3 linked regions of the Struthio camelus genome follow. The protein of the gene in region 1 interacts with the protein of each later gene in a pairwise test. Links are inferred from orthologs where the notes say so. Each region holds a gene or a part of one and is shown on either strand. Other genes may lie near its edges.

Region 1 (7,905 bases):
AAAACTGGTGGAAAGGGAACTGGGTATCACAAAACATACTAGTGCAGGCAGAGTGGCCTAAAACTGTTTTACTTTTTCAAATGTTTACACTGGCCATTTTTTAGCAGAGAAAAGATATAATGTCATCCGAGATGTATTTTCTGGTATTTATTTTGAATTAGTGCTCTTTCCAGGATATAAATGAAGGCTTGAACAAAAAAAAAAAGTTTAACACAGTTGAAGAATACACTTTAAAAATAGTTCTCTTAAACAGAGCCTATCTGAACCGTGCTTCTCAGTTCCCTCAACACAGTTTTCCAGATGAGACTGGCATCCTGCTACACATACACATAGTTTCTTTGTACATTAAAAAAAAAAAAGTCTAAAAGCACCTTTCCAAACCAAAAGGCAGCCCAAGAGCTTACTCGCAATATTTAGGTACTGGCAACAAGAGAAGTTTACAGGCTTTACATGCATGCCACAGAACAACTCAAGGTTTGGGGGATCTGGTTTTTGAGTGTTTCGTTTTGTTTTCCTGGCATGAAGGCGGTGGGAACGGGCTTGTTTAGAAACAAACGGTTCTAATGACAAGTAGGGAAAAAAAAGCTGTCTTGTTCATTTAGAAAGGTTCTCCTTTCTAGCTGAGATTCGCTTCTTTTTAAATCCTGCACAGTGATAGCTACCTGCCCCTCTCCCAAGTACCTGTCTTCTTTGGAAAGGGCTCAAATTTATGGGGAAAGAAGAAAAAGAAAGAAAGAAAGTACAGCAAAGTACAGCACACACAAACTAATGTGGTTGGAGGTTTTATTGACACTTGTTTGCAATGACCAGGATAGCTCTTACAGCTTTACCACTTGTGAATAATGCAGACTTTTAAAGACGAAAGTCAATAAAACATTTATGTGACATAAATACGTAAAGTATATTCAAAAGGGAGGTGGGTTTTTTCTTTTTTCTTTTTCTTTTCTTTTTTTTTTACCCCTTAACTAACACTAAGAATTGGCAAGAACTTGTTAAGCAGCAAGGACAGAACTACATAATTTATTGCCAAGTGCGATATCTAATAGTAACAAACAAAATGACAGATGAGAGAGATACCAGTACAAGGAGCCATGCTCACACCTCTGCATGAGTTCCAAACGGATAATTTAGGATTATCAAATCAGAGGTATGGATTTTTTTTTTTTTTTGTAATTTAAAGCAACAATGGTGTTTGAAATCAAAACCCCTAACAGATTTTGCTTGAGCTCTTCTCTCCGACCTTAGGGAACCTCTGCTTTAGAAACACTTCAAACATGAAAAAGAAATACAGGAAGGAGTAAGAAATGATGATTAGGAGAAGAAAAGTTGTTTGTGCTAACTTGCCATTGGGGAGGGAAGTTGTCAGAACAGATGATCCCACAGCACAGCAAACACCAACCTAGGACTCCCCTGTCCAACATCTCCAGTGAGAACGCTCCTGTAAGACCTTCCCAAATCCCAGCTGCGGTGTAAAGAAAATGGTCCAATTTACTGGAAGGAAGCAAAGGCACATCTATTTTAGAGTCCTTGACATGGTCATCAATATCTTTACCTGGCTGTAAAAAGGTTATCATGAAAGTAGAGCTCACAGTATGACCCGGGAAAAAAAAAGAAAGCTTTATTGCCTGTAAAATGAGTCACTAGACTAAGAGGAAAAATAGGACAAAGCAACTGAAAAAACAGGTATCACTACACATACTGTGGTTCAAGGCTGCAACACCTCAACTCTTCTGTACTTTGTGTAGCTGAAACTTAGCACCGGTTTGTTTGGGTTTTTTTGCACGACCGTCAACAGTCTTGCCTTTGGTAAAGAAAAGCGAGCCGCTTAAACATAGCAAGTATTGTGACTGCCATGCCAATATGCATCTTTAGAGCTGACTCCAAGCGTGTTTCTTACACATGCAGCTTTAATCAGAACTGAAACAATCACTAACTCGGAATGTTTCGCATAAATCTGATAAGCATTTTCTACAAGCACAAAACGTTTTAGTCTCTACAAGACATCTAGAAGACTGCTGCCTGGTAACTCATTCATAGTGCTTGAATACTAATTTGGCAGTTAGGGGAAGAAAGGAGAGGGGAGGTGTTATGATTTTATACATGAAATTAGTAGTAGTAGTAGCAATGAACAGGGGCAGAGAGATTATCATGACACTTTCTTTTCACTGCTATGGGAACTGCTTTGACTTAACCGAGCAGCTTCACGTTTCCGTGCTTACACCAAAAGAACACAAAGGCAATTCGGTTTACACTTCTTGGAAGACAATGCTGTTCAGCATTACCACTATTTATAGCATGAAACAGTTCAAGGTGCATGTTGTTGCAGACAACTGAACGGCTTGTTTTCATGGTAATTGATCTATACAGCACGGGATTATATAAACAGTTGTTCCTTGCTCATTCCCACTCCATTAGCATCTCCCATGATAAAAATGTACTTGTCAATACAGCAGCTGCTATCAAACAGCAAAAATGCTAGCAGCTGCAAGGTCTTTAACTTGAAACTCTAGGTGAGTTTTGTAAAGATGTTCAGAAAATACAGCTGCTGAAGCTTTTGCATGCAGCTGTATACAGCCAGAAGAACAGCATGCTAATCTGTTTCCATGCTATTCTTCTGCAGTTTAAAGAACATAAAGCCACTTTTCTCAATTTCACTAACTATAAATCCCGGCTTAAGCATATCTGCACTAGTCTTTTTGAATTTTCTTACTGAAAACAGAATCTGCATACCAAGTTTGCAAAAAGGACAGTCCACTTCCTGTAAATGTATTACTTCTACTTCATTGGGTTATTATTTCCCGAAAACGTATCCTTACCTTTCTGCATCCCTGCAGAGAAGATACAACTATGTTGTGCCATGGAAGCAAATGCAGCGTGCCCAAAATTAACCACCGCTCTCTTTTCAACACTGTAGGATTCTAACATATCGCTTTGAAGGGTGGCAAACAGATCGGCCTCAAACAGTCTAGTACCGGACCAATCCGTGAATGTCAGAAGAAGCATTTTGCTTTTTGAGACGGTGGAAAATTCATGCTTGCAGTTGGAAGCTGGAGCCCCGCTTGAGACCGAACGTTCTTGCAGCGATCACTGCTCAGGTCGGGAGCACCAGAAATACAGGCTGACTACCGGGAAGAGATCAAGGGGTGAGGTGGTCAAAGGTCCATGGCAAACCACATGCGTTGTACAGCACTATTTCATATGCGGTGCCGTCAGAAGTATGCCTCGTTCGGGGCAAAACTCACCTTCATGATTTTATCACCGATCACTGAGGCACAGCACACAAATGAAATGCAGGCAACTGTCTAGCACACAAATGAAATGTAGGCAACTGTCTTCAGAAGAGAGAAAAAAAATCCTTCTGCACTTATTTGTCACTTGAGGCTCACTGAGGAGCAGGGAGCTGCCTCTACCACCACTGCCACCTCCATACCAGGAACAGGGCAGGAAACACATCTCCTGCATACACAGGCAGCCTGACATCCTGCAACGGCCACTGCCACCCGCTACACCACATCACCCTGACTATGGTATCTGAGCAAACAAAGTCTGGGAACCTGCTATAAACAGGTAGAAATGAATCTGTCAAGCTGTTAAAATGAGACACTTATATGTGTGTTTAGCTGGCATCAGCCAGTACACTCCTCATAGGTTTTAAATCAATTAGATTTTCAGAGCTTCACTGGAGCAGGACCCAGCAGCTCCAATATAATTCTACAGTATAAGGAGTGTCCACTACACTAAGATTACTTATCATTTCTCCACTTTAAAATTTAATTACAACTTAAAGAAGAGAACTGAGGCTGGAGTTTAGTTAGCAGATATTCAGAGCTTGGGGCCCTGAAACTCACTTTTCATCCACAATTAGAAGCCGGAGGCAGGGGGAGGGGGGCAGCAGGCACGCAAAGGGGCAATGACACCCATACACTTTGTTTTCCCATTAGTGATTTGCAGTTTAATTTTGCTGGCTGTGCATTGCAAAATCCATGCTTACCTAAACACTGCCTGTTGAGCAATATGGAATATAGATCTGTTGCAACTGAAGCAGAGAGAACCAGTTGATGCAGTCAGAGGACTATCCCGTCTCTTTCGAAGTTCCCTCCTGCTCACTTTATTTCCACAGCCAAGATAACTCAATTCTGCTTTTCAAGACCTCAGAAGAGAAGCATACAAGGTACATACTGCAGAGCGGAGCAGACTGCAATAAATGCAACCACTGGATAGCAGGTTTTCAACACTGGTTGTAACAATTCATTTGTCTACATAGCAGGTTAGCTTTGTGGTCTTTATCACAAAGTGAACACCTGCAGTTAAGCATGGACATGGACGACTGTCCCCTGTAACAAGTTGCTGGGTCTTTGCGCAGCTCAGCTTTCCTGGCTACAGGGTTCCTCAGAGAAAAAGAGATGAAAAAAACATGAACATTGCAGCCTAGCAACCACATTGCAGGAAAGAGTCGTTCCAGAGAAAGGAAGTGAAATTGGCTAAGGCTGGAAGGCCATCCTACAGAGTTTAATTAAATCTCAGCATTCTACTAAAGCACTTGTGATTTCCCAAACTCCAAAAGAACAACCAGAGATACATTTCAAGAGCCTTTTAAGGAATTCACATAAAAGCAGCAGTAAACAAGCAAACGGAAAAGTTAATACTGAGCATTGTTAGAGAAGCCTCATCACTTGAAGTGGAGGCAGTAGCACAATACATTCACCTAACACAAAATTATTTTTGGAAGCTCTCTTGCAATGAATTCAAATATAAACACCTTGAAATATGAGTTTACTCCAAAATGAGCTGTAGAAAGCATGGTTAAATTCCAAGGCCATGCTCCATGGAACAGAACGCAGATCAGAGTTTTAACACCTAAGCCCACCTTCAAGAACATCAGATTTAAACCAAAGTTTCTTTGAACAGAAAAGCTAAGAATGCTGTATTGCAGAGATTGATCACTCAAATATCCACAAATCCAACACAAATTTCATCGATTTTAAATACAGTAACTGAAACTAAGGGCATTATATTTTTCAGGAAAATATGTTCACATCCCTGACATCTTTTGCAGTTCAAAAGATTTCATCCAAACTTTTGTTTTAAAACCTAGAGTGTCCCAACTGACAAGTCAGTATTAAAGCAGCTTGCCTACCTGAACAGAAGTATCTGCAGATCCAGTATTACACCCTCTACACCTGAAAGCCACCACCTTATTCATGTGTGCAGAAAGCTCTTCCACTTCTACATCTCCCAAGTTAATACAGGCTCTACAGATGTATTGCTGCAACCTCCACAGTTTGTGAGAAGTTATTTGCCACTTCATAGCCCAACTCTTAACACTGAGTTGCTGTGAGGCATTTTTTCATTTTACGTTTCAGAAGAGTAACTTCAATTCAATCTATCGCTCTGTCTTATAATAAGCAAAATATTTTCGTGCACAGGAGCCATTCTGATTAACCAGTGTTGTCCTCGCCAACATCACTTCAATCCTTCACCTCCGCTCTGACAAACGGGGCACAGAGACAAGATGCTTTGTTCTGCACAGGAGATACATACAGATATTTGCATATGCATATCCGTAAACATTTAGCAGTAGTAGTAACTCCCATTATATCGTGAAAACTCTATTAGGCACTGATACTGCTTCAGGTTGAACAGATCCTTGTATTCACTGGACAAACAGTTTGCACATACACCAACAAATCATTACATCCCATGCCTTTTTTCCTGCACCGCTCCAATGAGTTCCTGCAGGAAGCTTCCAATTGCTTAAGCAGGAGAGCTCGGCTGCAGAGGAGACAGCCCTGCATTCGTCTACCCTGTGTTCACGTTTGGAAGGCACTCTGTGCATCAATCAGAGCATTTTTTTTTTCCTCCTTAAATGATGAAAGGTTCATTTATTCAGAAACTGGTTCTCTAGCTTACCTGGGAAAGCTTCCCATTCACCACAGGCTAGAGGATTTTTCAAGACATGAATGTCTGTTTTATGAACATCTGCACTCCATGAATACTCAGAGTAAGAAATTTATAAATGCAAGGATTGTGCACACAGGCAATGCATCATATCTGTAAGGAAAAAACATTAGATGCAAGACAGTATAAAAGCCTAAACTAGCATTGGTCAGAGATCAAACTACCTCATCTTCTAATATTCACAGTAGAACATCCCCAGCTACTCTCTCCTTACAACATCTAAACTCATCTCTCTCCAGTACATTCTTCCAACATACATCAGACACACAGTCCAAAAATCATCATATTCCAAGTGTTCCACGGATATGCAAAACAGACTACAGCCCCATTTCATGCAGGTCCTTCTTATCCAGTGTGGAGCAACTAACTATAAGGCAACAAGATCTTTAAGTAGAAGACCTATAGCAGGTGAAGCTACATATCCTGAATAGCTATCTAGAACATAAAGCTGGCCCCAATTCCTTCTTCACTGAGACAAAATGTCCTGCAATGATAATTTCCCTAGCATTCCCCAAAACCTTGCAACAGTTGACTTACCTTCAAAGACCGGGTGAAACACTGGAAATGCTGGATTTTGGGGGAAAGTGATGGGGAAATGTAAGCATGCCAAAAAAGATTTATGTATCAGTCTAACAGGCCAGTGGATTCTTTCAGCTATCTCTTCTTTCCAGGGAAAGACCCCAACGATTTAGAAAACAGAAGCTGCCCCAGAATGAGATGTGAAACAGATCCTCTTGACTCTATGCCACGCTTAAGGTCACAGATAAAGCACACCTTTTCTAGCAGTGGCAGCAAGCTGGAAAATAAGCGTTACTATTTAAAATAAATAAATAAAAATTTTAAAAGAATTACTATAAAAAATCAGATATATAAGCAGCAGGGGAGATGCATGTATTTTACTCAGCAGGCTTCATCTGCTGTGAAATTTGAGGTTTCATTGCAAGCACACTACACACTGTTTGAAACCAGCACCAGCGAAGTTTACTCCTCTACCAGTAGACTTTGTTTACAAAGACATTTAGTATCCTTTGTGCCTCCTGCCAAAGGACAAGGGCCAGGCAGAAGCTATGCACGAGTTAGTGTGATTAATTCCCTAAGTCTGTGCTTCAGTGAATGAGTGGGAGCTAAACAGTTAATTTCACAACGTCAAAAGACAGCAGCAAATTTCATTTCTTCCTGAAGCAAGGAGACATCAGCCACACCCTCCTTTACGGAGCTGAAAAGGCTTGCAGATTTAAACTCACATTTCATTTGAAAACAGGCAAGGGCAACCCGGTCACAGTATAATAAACTAACAAAGTCTGCAAGCCAATTTCATTTGTATCAGCCTTAAACGAAGCCAGTTTCCAGTGGTTTTTGGTTTCTTACTGTTTCTCTGCCAAGATCAAATCAAAAGTTGCTACAAAGATGCTAAGAGCACCCAAAAAAAAAAAAAATTAACGAATATCTTTCTGAGATTCACCACCACTAACGTTGATGTGTTTCCATACCACAGCTCATAAATAAGTAAGCAAAGGACACATATGCAAGTCCAAATAATGTCATCACCGTTCAATTATGCATATAAGAAAGCTTCACCTATCTACAGGATACCTTTTAGCTGCTGCCTATTGACTTAGGCTTTCTGCTAAGGCTATACAGAAGAGGGTAAGAGACCACTAGCCAGAGCTAGAGACTGGCTGCTGCAAAAATTAATGCTCTCCTCTAAGCCTGAGTAGGCAGAACCTGACAGCTCTTAAGTACCCTCTACAAGAGGAAGGAGCTTTAAAAAATTGCCTCACTCAGATCAGCAGCTGGAGTTAACAGCTCCCTTCAATAGCTATCCTCAAAGCAATTTCCCTGCCTCAACCTGTTTTTTTCTTTTTTTTAGTCCAGTTACAATCTACCCTTGAAGACTAAGGCTCATAAAAGCACATAACAAATATGTCTTCATTATTATATGAGCTG
Region 2 (7,842 bases), on another chromosome or scaffold:
GGCTATTAATGTATGAATTAGTGATTTGCTTCTTCTGATCTTAAATAAACCACAGAATTGTTGTGTGCCTACGTTTAGTCTTTGAGTTCACGTAGAGTGAAATTTGGCCATTTAAAGCATAGCACAACTAGGCATTGCCAAGGAGAGTGCACAAGATGCATTTTTTCTTTTGAAACTGCAAATTTTAAAAGTCAGGCATAGAATATATCATCTGTTCTCCAGATACAGAAGGAAAAAGTTAACTTACACCTCTCTAAGAGTTGCTGTACCATATTAGAAGCACACTGCATTTTCTGTTGCAAACTTCAGTAAACTAACAGCTATGTGTTGAAGTCGCATAACAGACACCCAGGTGCCTTTGTTCTTCACCATGAAGATACAGTTTGCATTCTTAAAAGCCTCTGTGCTGCACGTAGGTGCAAATTTTAAGAGCTTGATTTTAGTAAATCAGTCCTACTCCTCGTAGTCAACTGTTCCATCTGAAATCCCCAAATCAAAACAAGATTTGGATGATATGCCCATGGTGTTAAACAGCCATCATTCATCAACGCTCCTCCACATTCTCTACCGACAGCGTTACTATAATTGGGAAAGAAAGATTAAAACAGTACCAAGATGCTTCTCTTCCACTTTTTCATGACTCCCCTAACAAAATGATTCGGAGAACTCTCAATGCAAAGTAATCCTATTCTTTCCAATAGCAGAAGGCATTGGTAGTGTAAGATACATAAGTCAGTCTGTTGAAGTTCACTTAAGTGTAGAAGTAAGCCCTTATTTTACTGAGCTATTCCTCACTCTGTGTTCAGATAACCCACTGTTTTGTTGATATTAAAGTGAAAAACAGCAAGATGTAAACGAGCAGCCATAAGAGAATTCTTTCTCAAAGGTCAGCATACCGCAGCAAAATATGACCTTACAGGAGGAGGGATGGCTGTTCCCATCCTTAGAGAACGCCAGGAGTATTCCATTTTCAGGAACAAAATGCCAGAAAAGCCCATTGTCAAGGGAAAAGCTTCCAGCATATACAAAGACTGTCAAAAGTTCGGCCAAAACCCTCCCCGAATTTTAGATTTCAAAGACGGACAGGGACTACAGGCTTGTTTGGAGGTGGCTTTTATATGCTTAACACTGTAGATTTCCTCACAAACATACTCTTCAGTTTTTAAATGTGCACTGATTAAGTTGTGAAAAGCGTAGAGACACCTTGATAAGCATTCTTGCTACTCTGTGCAGAGACGTCAGTACTGCGTACTTTCAGCACGATGAAGAGCATCTTTCAAACTCCAGGAGCGTAGCATAAAGAACACTTCAAAGACATTCCCTTAAGTCGTCATCTTTGCGTTTTAACTTGCCCTTCAGTTCGTTTTTCTCCTTTCCCTTTTGGCAAGGCTATTAGTCACTTCCGTCTAGGCTTGTAAGGAGATAATCCTCAGAAAAAGACTGAATGTTGATAGAAAATTAATTAACTAACCCTCAAAAGGGACGAACTTCTAGAATGGAATACTGCCTCTTACAAGCGCAAATGGTGATTATTTCACTCACTTTATTATTAAAATGAATTAAAGGAGCGTAAATAAGGCAAGTAGTCACTATGCATTACACTGAAGTCTGTTCGTAGGTCTTCTTTCTACTCAATAAATAACTGACATAGTAAACATCGCTAAATCACACCTTCAGATTTTCAGCTCTTCCCTTCAGCAGCAAACTATTGTTGCAGAATCTTATTTAAATCAATTGGTGTATAAACCATAGCCAGGGAAACATCAGTTTTGAGCAAAGAGCACCTAAACAGAGCTTCCAAAGTTAGCTACGTTACAGTCAAAACATACAATTAGAGACCTATTCCCGTCTCGGGAAGTTTCCGCTGTTGTTTGATCTCAGTGTGAGAACTGCTCAACCGGAGCGAGCTTTAAAAAGTATCTTTCTTTATGGTTGAGAGTACAATAGCGCCCACCAACCCCAAGAATCAGCCTGAACTTCAGCGCAAGAGCCAAAAGCGTAGGTCTGGAGCAGGTCTGAAGGAAGCCACGCCAGGGCTCCGAGCTGGCCACTCCAACTTACCTCAGGATTTAAAAAAAATAATAATAATACAGAGGAAAAAAGAGGTAGAACTAAGTAAATACCAGTTCTAAAGAGGGCTAAGCCCAGCTGCGGGTCTGGCACCCGGCGTCCGTGGCAGACTCGCAGCCCGAGCGGACCTGCCGCCTGCCTGCGACCTTCCTCCCGCCGCGGCGGAGCGGCACGCCGCCCGGGCGCTCGGACGCGAAATGGCGCTTTTCTTAGGATTTCCCACCACCCCCCCCCCCACCCCGTCCTCAAGAGGATTTTTGGTAGGAGACGGGCAAGTAAGCGAGGGCAGCGGCGGTCAGCAGGTGCCGCGGCGCGCCCCTCGGCCCGGCCCGGTGCAGCCCCGCCGGCCGCGCCCGCCGCCGAGGGAGGACGGGCGGGCGGGAAGGGGGCGGCCGCGCTCCCGCCCCGTCGAACAAAGACGGCCGCGGGCTTCACCGCTGCCGGGGCGCCGGGGGACGCCGCGCTCCCGCCGGCCGCGAGGCGGCTCGAGCTCCGCTCCCGCCGCCGCCCCTCGCCGGCGCCTTCGGCCCCTCACGCCCTTCCCGCCGCGCCCGCCCCTCGCCGGGGTCGGCGCCCGCCGCCGCCCTGCGCCTCGCCGCCGCCCGCCTCACCTTGCTGCAGGTCCTGCTGGTCGTACCAGGGCTCATCCTCGCGGATCTCGAACTCCTCCACCAGGCTGTCGGCCAGCATCGCGCCCCTTCCCCTGCCGGCGCCGCCGGAGGACGGCGATGGGGACGAGGCGGGGCAGGGCGGGGCGGCGGCGCTGGCGCTAACGAGCCCCCTCGCGCCCAGCGACAGCGGAGCGAGGCAGAGCGAGCCGGCAGCCGCGCCGCGCCGCTCCTTAAAAGCCGCCTCCGGCCATTGCCGAGCGTTTCCGGACTTTGCCGAACCGCTCCCCCTTCTGGCCGGGCTGCGCGGAGCCGCCGGCAGCAACGTGGCAGCTACGCCCGGCCGGCCGGCCGGCCGGCCGCCCACCGCCTCCCCGCGATTCAAACGGAACGGCCTGACCTCCCCCGCGGGCAGCCAATGGGGAGCCGCTCGCCGGGCGGATCGAAAGGAGCGTGGGCCAATCATCAGGCGAATACGGATCGAACCGCCAGTGAGAATGGGGAGGAGGTGGGCCTAAGTTGATGATGCCCCGCCCCGGGAGCGGGCTACGCAGCCTCCCGTCGGAGGAGGTCGGTTAGACCCTGTGGAAGGGGCGGCGGCGGCGCCGCCGCCGCGGAGGGGGTTAACGGCGGGGGGAGCGCTCTGTGGCGTTCTCCGGGGTGGGGTCCCGGGAGGAGCGGGGCTGGCACGGCCGGGGGTGGGTCAGGCGGGGCGGGGCCGGGCGTAGGGGAGGTGCCGGTCGCCCCGCACGGGGGTCCCCGGGGCGCGCCGTGGGAAGCGCCCGCGATGCCCTTCTCCCCCCCCCCCCCAGTTGCAGCGGGTGTCCCGCCGGCAAACGGCCCTCCGCCCCGCGCCTCCTGCCCTTGCAAGGGGGAGGGAGCCGCCCAGCGGAAAGCCGCCCAGCGGAAAGTCCCGGTTTTCACAGAGAAACAGCCCCGGTTCCAGCCCGGCAGGTTTCCGAGCGCGGCGGCCAGGTGCAGCCCCGCGGCCTGTGAGGGCGGCGGCGCCCCTGCGGCTGCCGCAGCCTTCGGCTGGGGACGAGGAAAGCCCTGACTCTCCTTAGCTCTGCTTCAGCGCGGCTCGAGTCACGGAGGAGAGAGGAGGGAGGCGTTTGTGAGCAGCCCGTTGGCCGGGGCTGCGGGAGGGCGTCGCGGCGGGGCAGGGCGGCGGAGGCCCGCGGCCCTGCCCGCTCCCTCCTCCTGGCGCCGGGCGCTGGGTTTCTGTGAGAGATTCCCGAAATTGGTTCGCCCTCTCTGAGTCACAGAATGTCAGCGCTTTGCTCTTCAGCGTGTTCAACATAAAGGCTGGCTCTTGGGAAGAGGGAGGGGATGGTCGTGCGTGATCCCCCGGCTGTACAATTAAAAAGAGCACGTCTGTTGGGAGAGGAAGTGTGGCACCTCAACTTCTAATTGAGCCTGTTTCATAAACAAAGTACAGGACCAGATGTGCCAATTAGTGTAAATCGTTGTGTCAGGTCCTGTGCGTTGCAGTTAGTCATGGCACTCGAGGCCTGTTTGTCCCTTGTGAGAAGGATTTTGTGAAAGAAATACTACTTCACAATTTTCTGAAGCTGAGGAGACCTTTTTTTTATCTGTGTGTAGGAAGGAACTGAGTCAAATGTGATTGGAAGAAGGAAAAATTTGAAGTACTAGTTTGCAGGTAAAGCTAGCGCGAAGCACGTTTCTTCTTGGTGCTCGTGGAATTTGAGGGAGGCGAGGGGCCCACAATTCCTGTTGGGAAACCCGTGCTGTCTTGCACAAGGAAATACGTGCGAAATGCCTACTTTTCCAAGTGCCCTAGTATCTGCTACACCAATCTGCTACTTAAATACTACATTAAGTGTAGTTGTGAAGGCTTGAATACGCCCTTCATTTTAAAATGCGGCGCTTGTCAGTAGCACGCTTCTATAATGACGCTCACAATTTATAGTATTATACTTCTAAAATAAACATTTTAAATGGGGATCGTTTCAATAACCTTATTTTCCATTTTAGGTTTCTCGGTAATAGTTTATGAAACAGAACTTGTTACAAAAATGCAAAATTTCATCCCTTGGACATGGAAATACTGCTATAGCCATAGCTCCATGAAAAATAACTTTGAAAACATATATCACTGTCATTCTCAAGTATATACAAATTCAGTCATGTGCTTAAAAAAAAAAAAAAAGAAAAGGTTGGCCTTAGAGGGAAAAAAAAAAACTTTGATCAAGTTGTTTTTCAGCTTGATTTTTTTTCCTTACTTGTAAAGAGGAGTTATTTCCTCTTTGCTTATTGTTTCATAGTTGAGCATCTTAAATAGAGGTACAAAAATACACCCTCGTTTTACCGCTCTTAAAATACCTCACTTTCTGTGTTGGAGGGAATGGAAGAACTGCTGTTCCATATTCTGCCTTAGCCAGAATAGACAATTTTCCAGTCCCCTGCTTTGTCTGTTGCCTGGCCCTCACCTGGTGATGAAGAATTTACTGTTTTCCTCACAGCAGCCTGTCTTCAGCCACTTGGTGAACCACAGGCAGCAGGAAGGTTCGAAACAGCCGTGCTTTTCATTTCCTGTTTCTTTCATGATCATTTTATGAGGAGTTCAAGGAATTGCTAATAGATTTGTTTATCAAGCTGAACAATCAAATATTCAAACCGTGTATTTTGATGAATATTTGAAAAATAGCTTTTAGGATAAAATTGTTAGTATAGCGCACAAGAGTGAAGTGTGGACCATTGATGGGACACGGGCTGCAAAGTTCGGAGTTAGTGTCCTTAATTAAGGTTGAGATTTGAACCTGAAGTAATAGCCGAATTTATGGCAGACAGTTTCTTTTGAACAAATATACAGATGAATAAAGGCTCAGTTAAGGACAGAGTATCTAAGAGAAGTATTGGCGTGTTGGGATTAGAGAATCAAATCTGGTCAAGGACCATAAAGGTACTCATTGCTCTGCTTTAAAAGGTAGAGGTTCTCCAGAACCTCTAGCTATTTTCATTGGAGGGTTTATACTAAACATACTTCAGCTAAATGCTAGATATGTGGAAAAAGCCAACATGTTACAAAATTGTTGGCTGAAGATCTGTTTGCTATATTAAGGAACTATATATCCTTGGGCTGAATCTGTTATTTGGATATACTCCAAATCCTGTGTTACTCTATATGAGTTACTTTCTGGATTTTATTTACACAAGTTCTCTTCCAGTACGAAAATGTTTCTTAAAAGGTATTTTGATTGCTTTAAGTAAGTTTCATTAGTTTATTAGCTGAAAATATTGCTTCCATGACTTGGGCTCCTTTTTGTTAACTAGTAACATTAGAAAATAGGAAGACAAAGCTTTGAATTCATTTTAAAATAAATGTTCATCTAAGCGCATGCTGAATTTGACATTCATAACAATGGAATACACAGGAATATGAATTGAGTCACTTCATTCCTACCCAGTTCTTTGTAATTGTAGAACTACGTAGCTAGCAGGAAGGATGTAAAATGTACGCAGTTGCTTTGAACTCTACCTCAAGATTAGTGCTTGCAGTAGCAGACTTTTGTGTTGGGTCTGTGCACCAGTTGCTTTATGTGCTCTTGACATTTTGTCTACTTGTTCTTTTGTTTTTTAAGGACTGATTATATTGGGAAATGCCATGCTTAATTTTTACACCTGTTCAGTTTTGTGCTCAGTGTCTCGTACCTCAGTAAAATGTGTTGCGCGTTTAACAAAAAAGTGACTGAGGATGGGGAAATTCTCATCCAAGACACTAGTTTCGCTTCTCTGAAACAAGCAAATCTCCCATGTCTTTTTGCTTTGGAAAATGTTTCTACCAACGATTGTAATTCTTCTTTTGTAACTAGAGAAAGAAGAGACTTGCACAATTTGGAAATGAAGTTTGTTTGGGGAATTCATCCTAATGCACTGGCATATTCCATGACTACATTAGGTGCTGGAATGATGAACAGTATCTTTAATTTCTACTACGTTAAGCTTTTCCTAAACCAATACAAAATTTCAGAAGTAGCGTTTCATCAAGCACAGGTATTGTACAGCGGAATATTTTGATTTCTGTGTTGTGCTCTGTGTCTGTATTGGCATATCAAAGTTATTTTTATTAATGAATTCCTTTTGAGTTTATTGCAAATAGTTATACAAAAATTCCATGTTAAATTTAGTTAATGCATGAGCAATTGAAGGCATACTTAAAGTGCATTGTTTACAGTCTTTAAATTAAAAAATCTCTGGACTTTCATTGCTGGAAAGATTTTTACCTTTCATAACTTGAAGTAATGTTCTAAACTAATCTTGCACTTCAGCTTCATGGAGACCTTCGACTTCAGTGCTTTCCTATGGACTATTTAAGTACTTAAATACTGCCTTTTTTTCTGCAAGTTCCTACTCATGTGAGCAACTTGAGCACCTAAATGATCTCCTGAATATGATGGCCAACTCATGCTTTAAATTACTTGCTGTAAGAGCTTGTGAGATGAAAGCCCAGATACATAAGCTTTTGAGGGAGTGAGGTCTTGGAGACAGGGGTTTATCTCAACTGGAGTTGGGCACCTTCCTGCCTATTCGGTTTGTTTTTCAAAGCTACTCGTTTACTGTCAACATCTAAATACCTTTGGAAATGTGTTCCTGAGTCCATTTTGACCTGGCAAGCTTCCCTCTCTTTTTATTCTTTGAATAGAGATTTATTTTGCATAAATACAATGTTTATTACTTGTGTGTTTGCACAGCCTCTGCAGAAGAATGACACTAATGATAAATTCTGTTGTTTTTCATGCTTGTTGTCACAGGTGGTATTTATGATATGGAATGCCATTAATGATCCTCTTTTTGGGTATATTCAAGACAACTCCAAATTCGCATGCTGCTCAAGACGTCAGTTTTCAATTTTATATGGAGCTCCCTTGTATGCGTTAGCCTTTTTGCTTCCTTGGTTTCCTTGGAAACAGTATGAGGAAGGTGACTGGCTAAGCGGTCTTCACCTTATTGTTGCTTTATGTGCTTTTGATGGTTTGCTTACGTTTGTGCTTCTAGCACAATGCGCGCTCTTTGCAGAAATTTCCACAAGACATGAAAGTAGGCTTCAGCTTATTAAATATAACCAAGTAGCAACATTAATTGGATCAACAAGCATTCTCTTCTGTGGTCTAATATCAGACAACATGGAAAAGTTTGCCTGTTT
Region 3 (6,117 bases), on another chromosome or scaffold:
TGTCCCCCCCCCCCCGTCACCGCCGTCCCACTCCGGGATGCCCCTTTACTTCCCCGGGTGCCGGCTGCGTGGGAACCTGCCCCGCTCCAACTTGTCCTTCCTCCTCCTCCTCCTCCTCCTCCTCGCCCCGGGGCCCGGCGGGGGGCAGCGACGACGCAGAGCACAGAGGCAGGCGTGCAGGTGAAGTTTTATTGGGGATGCACCGAGGCTTCGGCCCCCCCCCTCGCCCCCCCCCCCCCCCCACGGCCCGTCACCTCCTCCCGCTGCGAAGGGGAAGCCGCAGAGCAAGGCACGCCAGCAAGCGAAGGACAGGGCCGCCCCGCGCCCCCCCGCTCCCCGGAGCCGCCGGGAGCCCGTGGGCATCCCGCCCCGCTCTGCCGCTTGTTCCCCCCTCCGCCCCGGGACGCGGTGCCGGGGGGATGCGGGAGGCGGTTTTGGGGGGGGGGGGGCTGCCGGGGAGGAGGGACGGGGAGCCGAGATGCCTTACCCCCCCCCAAAAAAAAAAAAAAAAAAAAAAAGAGGCAGAAGACGGAAGAACAGAGAACAAGGTGGGGAGGGAGGAGGTGGGAGCCGGCGGCGGCTCCCCGGGGCGGTCGCTCAGTTCTTGGGCTCTTCGCCGGCCTCGCCGCCGTCTTCGCCGGCGCACTCGGCTGTCCATAACGTGAGGTTGTCCCTGAGCAGCTGCATGATGAGGGTGCTGTCCTTGTAGGAGTCTTCGCTGAGCGTGTGCAGGTCCCCCATGGCCTCGTCGAAGGTGGTCTTGGCCAGCGAGATGGCCTGCTCGGGGGCGTTGGCGATCTCGTAGTGGAAGACGGAGAAGTTGAGGGCCAGCCCCAGGCGGATGGGGTTCGTGGGCTGCATCTCCTTTTTGCTGATGTCCATGGCCTCTTGGTAGGCTTTCTGGGCACTGTCTATCGTCTCCTTGCGGTCATCCCCGGTGGCCACCTCGGCCAGGTAGCGGAAGTAGTCTCCCTTCATCTTCAGGTAGAAGACCTTGCTCTCCGCGTCGCTGGCCTTCTTGATGAGATACTTGTCCAGCAGGCCCAGGACGACGTTGCAGACGCTCTTCAGCTCCTTTTCCACCTTCTCACGGTACTCGTTCACCAGCTGCGCTTTGTCGTCGCCCTCCTCGGTTTTGTGCTCGATGCTGGAGATGACCCTCCAGGCGGAGCGCTGGCACCCCACCACGTTCTTGTAGGCCACGGAGAGCAGGTTGCGCTCCTCGTTGGACAGCTCGTCCCCGTGCTCCACCACGGCCTTCATGAAGTCCGCCATGTCCTCGTAGCGCTCGGCCTGCTCGGCCAGCTTGGCTTTCTGCACTTGGTGGTTTCTTGCCATGGCTGGCGGCGGGGAAGGGGGGACGCGGGTGGACGGGCGAGCGGCGGCGCGGGGGGAGACGGAGCGGCGAGGAGCGGGCCGGTCGCCTTGGGGAGCCGTCGGAGCCTCTGCCGAGCGCCGCCGCCGGGATTCGCTTTTGGCCGGGCGTCGGAGCCTGGAGCAAGAGCGGGAGGAGCCAGGAGGCCGCGCGCAGCCTCCTTCCCCGCGTCCCCGTCCCCGTCCCCGCCGCGCCGCCCCTTGCGAGGCAAAATTGCCGTGATTCATCGCCCCGCCGGGCAAAAAAGGGGGCGCCGGGGAAGGGGGGGGGGCGAGCGGGGCGGCCCCGCGCCCGGCCCTCGCCCCGGGGCGGCCCGGCCCTGGGCCCACCGCTGGCGGCGGACCAAATTAAAAAAAAATTTTAAATTAAATTTGAAAAAGCCCCAGAACGGTGCACCCGGGCGCTGCCGGGCGGCAGCAGGAGCTGCAGGGCGCGCTCGGCTCCCGCCGCCCGGCCGGCGCGGGAAACGGGCCGGGGGGGCAGAGAGGGTGGAAAAGGGGTTGGGGGGGGCTTCCTCCCCCGCCGCCCACCCCAAAAGCCTATCAACGAATCAGTGCCGGTTTTCGCCGGTGGCTGGGAATCGCCGCGGCTCGCCGGGCAGGTGGGAAACGGAGCCGGGGCTGAGCCGCTTGCCTGAGCCCCGGCCGGCGCTCCCGGCTCCCATCTCACCCCCCCCCCCCCGCCGCCGCCCCCAAATTAAGGTGAAATCAGCTCGTTTCGTTGAACTACCAGGCTGCCGGCTGCCAGCAGCCAGACGGACCCAACCGAAAAAACACCCCATAACTCGAAACAGGACGGTCGAGGAAGAGCGACGGGAGGCTGCACTTTTGGGGACGACTCTGGGCGTTTTGGGGCTTCGGCGGGCCCCCAGAGCGAGGTGCCCGGCGCCCCCGGCTCGGCCTCTCGCCCGCTCCCGGCCGGCCAGCGGGGGCCCCTCCACCCCCCTCGCTGCGATTCCCCCCGCGGCGCCGCCGGCCGAACGGCTCGCCGCGGACTTTGCCGATCTCTTCCAAACGCGATGGAAATGATTCTTTTTTTTTTAACTTTAGGAAAAAAAAAAAAAAAAAACCCGCCGGCTCGCTCCAGGTGTTGGCTGCCCTTGGAAACGCGCCGGCCAGATTAGGATCTGCGCTTCATGTTACGCTGCAGTTTCGCTCTGGAGCTGATTAAGCCTGTTCCCACACGCAGGGCGCTGACTGCGCCGGGAGGCAGCGCGGCCAAGCCGGCTGCACCCCCCGGGCTGCCCGCCGCGCGTGCGGCAGCCGTGCGGGAAGGGCAGGGTGGCGGCGCCCGGCCGAGGCCAACTGTTTTATCAGCGTCACCCGCCGCTTTACTCATGGCTGCAAACACCCCCCGGCGCCGCCCCGGCCGGCTGGGCACGTGCAGCGCATCCCTGCGGCGGCGGCATCGCCGGCTCCCTTCCCACCGCCGCCTTTCCCGCTGGGGCAACGGCATTCGGGAGCTCTCCGCCTGGATAAGTCTCTGGGTGCCTGGAGAAGGCGGTTTGGCCTTGCTGGGTTCCTGCCTGCCGGAGGGGTCCCAGCACCTTCCCGCAGCCCCGACACCTTCCTGCAGCCCCGACACCTTCCCGCAGCCCCGACACCTTCCCGCAGCCCCGACACCTTCCCGCAGCCCCAGCACCTTCCTGCAGCCCCAGCACCTTCCCGTAGCTCCGACACCTTCCCGCAGCCCCGACACCTTCCTGCAGCCCCGACGCCTTCCCGCAGCCCCAACACCTTCCCGCAGCTCCGACACCTTCCTGCAGCTCCGACACCTTCCCGCAGCTCCGACACCTTCCCGCAGCCCCAGCACCTTCCCGCAGCTCCGACACCTTCCCGCAGCCCCAGCACCTTCCTGCAGCCCCGACACCTTCCCGCAGCCCCGACACCTTCCCGCAGCCCCAGCACCTTCCTGCAGCCCCAGCACCTTCCCGTAGCTCCGACACCTTCCTGCAGCCCCAGCACCTTCCCGTAGCTCCGACACCTTCCCGCAGCCCCGACACCTTCCTGCAGCCCCGACGCCTTCCCGCAGCCCCAACACCTTCCCGCAGCCCAGCACCTTCCCGCAGCCCCAACACCTTCCCGCAGCTCCGACACCTTCCCGCAGCCCCAACACCTTCCCGCAGCTCCGACACCTTCCCGCAGCCCCAACACCTTCCCGCAGCTCCGACACCTTCCTGCAGCCCCAGCACCTTCCCGTGGCCTCGACACCTTCCTGCAGCCCCAGCACCTTCCCGTGGCCTCGACACCTTCCTGCAGCCCCAGCACCTTCCCGTGGCCTCGACACCTTCCTGCAGCCCCAGCACCTTCCCGTGGCCTCGACACCTTCCTGCAGCCCCAGCACCTTCCCGTGGCCTCGACGCCTTCCTGCAGCCCCAGCACCTTCCCACGGCCCCGACACCTTCCTGCAGCCCCAGCACCTTCCCGCGGCCCCGACACCTTCTCATGGTCCCAGCACCTTCCCGCAGCCCCAGCACCTTCCCGCAGCACCGACACCTTCCTGCAGCCCCAGCACCTTCCCATGGTCCCAGCACCTTCCCACAGCCCCGACGCCTTCCTGCAGCCCCGACACCTTCCCATGGTCCCAGCACCTTCCTGCGGCCTCAACACCTTCCTGCAGCCCAGCACCTTCCTGCAGCCCAACCCCATTCCTGCAGCCTCGATGCCTTCCCGCATCCCCGACACCTTCCCACAGCCCCGACATTTTCCCGTGGCCCCAACATCCTCCCGTGGTCCCAGCACCTTCTCGCGGTCCCAACACCTTCCCGCGGCCCCGACACCTTCCCGCGGCTGCTTTTTTCGGCTAGCCCCAAGCAGCGCCCTGTGCAGGGCCTCGGCAGGCAATTAAGGATCCCGCCCCAGATTAGTGTAATCCACCGTGGGAGTAGACTACACGGCCCTAAAGCATGCGAGGGCACTTTCGGAAAGAAGGCGGCAATTTGGCTTTAAGCGAGCGCGTTTCCGGCCTGCTCGCTCGGAGGCGAGCTGCGGAGGGGAAGGCAGCCGCGGGGCTCGGTGCGGAGCCAGCCAGCAGCCGCCCCGCTCCGGAGACGCGCGAGACCCCTAGAAACCCTTGGAGACCAGCGCTGCTGGTCCGCAGCCGAGCGCAAAGCGCTCCCGCGCGGGGGCCGGCCGGCCGAGCGCTGCAGCCCTCCTCGCCGAAACACGCTGAAAGCCGCAGCTTTCCATTGCAAAAACGCGGGGCAGCGATTCCTGGGGGAATCTAGACTGCGCAGGCTCCAGCTCCGTCTCCAGGCCTGCAGATTACATCCCTCGCAGCGCTAAAGCTGCAGTGTCCATGTTCATCCCCCCCTGGCCACCCCGGCCCCGTCTAACCGGGTGCCAAGCCGGGAGCCAGCTGTGCCGGGGGAGCCAGCCCCGGCCTCACCTCCCCAACGCCGCGGCGCTTTCCCAAGGTCAGCGCTCGCCTCTGGACCCAGCCCAGCTTCAGCGTGCTGCCCTTAAACTTGGGCTGCTCCTTCGGCAGCCCGGCTCCCAGCCGCACTGGCGTTTCGGCTATTTATGCAGCCACGGCGGCTCTGCCCCGAGTGGGACCTCTCCGCAGGGGCCAGCTCAGAGCGACCCCCGGCCCCCGCCGGCCCAGCTAGCTGGTACCAGGCAGCCAATGGCTCAGCAGTAGCTCCGGTGTCTCGTTAGCCCCTGCCAACAGGAGCTGAACGGCTGCCAGAGCGGGTTGAAATTGGCTAAGAGGCTGCAAAAACATTCTGCTCTACCGGTTTCATGAAAAATAAGAGGCTGGGTGAAGGGAAGAGCCCCGGATCCATGTGCGCCACTCAGGCAAAGGCTGCAGGGCCAGCTCAGCTCTAGCATTAGCGCGCTGAGTTCACCCCGGAAAGCACCTCCGAGCGTGGGAGAGCGTGCTGCAACGTGCACCTCGCCAGCAAGGGGCCGGCGAAGGACTCAACCCCCAGGAAACGCTACCGAGGGCCACTACGCGTCTCCTCCCTGCTGCGCCCCGCGATGCTCCAGGCAAGCTGGGGCTGGGCTCCCGAGCAGCTCCGTCATTGCACGCAGCGAGCGAGACGCTTGTGACCATCCCCGGGGGCGCTGGGAGGACGTTCAACAGCCCAGCTGCTCCCAGGGCTGCGGAGAACCTGCCCGTTCTCGAGTCCTCCCAGCCCTTCAGAGGGGGGCGAGTTTGGCCAAAGGCTGCTGTGACAAAAGCGGAGGGGTGCTGGGGTGCCCAGCGGACTCCGGGCGCTGCCCATGCTCCTTCTCCCGGTCCTCGGAGCGAGGCATGCGCCCTTTCCCCTTTGCAGGAGGGCGCAAAGCTCTGGAAGGCTGAGAGTTGCCTTAAGGCCACAGTTAGCGCCAAAGCCGAGTTTAGGGAGTTCTTGGCTCCCGGCCTTGTGGCCAACACAGCCAAAGGCAGAGGCAGGCAAACCCTCTCCGGCTTCGCCGGGGCTCGGCTCCCCCACCCCGCGCGGCGAGAGCATGCACAGGCACGAGCCGCAGGGAGCAACGCCCCTGGCCTGCTACAGCAGAAGCCACATCGCTCGCGTACAGTAAATAGGAGAAACTTTATTTTTGTTACAAAAGTAAAAGGCATAAATAGAGTGCAAATCCTACTGGACTCTAAGCTTTGCCGGCGGGTTCAGTCCGGCCGTTCTGCAGCTAGAGAACTCGCCGCGTTGGCGGCCGGCGGACCCGGCCTCCGCTGCGTCCTTCCGGAGACGCTGACGGCGCAGCGCAGGAAGGGGAGCGACTACACCGAGGCGACTG

Evidence for each region.
Region 2: the proteins of HDAC4 (region 1) and CDR2 interact in binary tests that used the Homo sapiens proteins (3 or more experiments, as listed by UniProt). The two-hybrid records come from large-scale screens. The link is inferred for Struthio camelus from reciprocal best matches to the Homo sapiens genes HDAC4 and CDR2.
Region 3: the proteins of HDAC4 (region 1) and SFN interact in binary tests that used the Homo sapiens proteins (3 or more experiments, as listed by UniProt). The link is inferred for Struthio camelus from reciprocal best matches to the Homo sapiens genes HDAC4 and SFN.

What each region holds. Positions count from the first base shown.
Region 1 is NC_090947.1:2,715,272-2,723,176, forward strand, and holds the start of HDAC4 (histone deacetylase 4), read right to left. Parts: upstream 3,096-7,905; 5' UTR 3,004-3,095; coding exon 2,817-3,003; intron 1-2,816. UniProt on the Homo sapiens protein: Responsible for the deacetylation of lysine residues on the N-terminal part of the core histones (H2A, H2B, H3 and H4).
Region 2 is NC_090956.1:9,339,173-9,347,014, reverse strand, and holds the start of CDR2 (cerebellar degeneration-related protein 2), read right to left. Parts: upstream 3,145-7,842; coding exon 2,682-3,144; intron 1-2,681. Other genes in the region: transmembrane protein 180-like, read left to right, coding at 6,540-6,692, 7,451-7,842.
Region 3 is NC_090964.1:6,831,673-6,837,789, forward strand, and holds SFN (14-3-3 protein sigma), read right to left. Parts: upstream 1,517-6,117; 5' UTR 1,339-1,516; coding exon 598-1,338; 3' UTR 509-597; downstream 1-508. UniProt on the Homo sapiens protein: Adapter protein implicated in the regulation of a large spectrum of both general and specialized signaling pathways. Binds to a large number of partners, usually by recognition of a phosphoserine or phosphothreonine motif.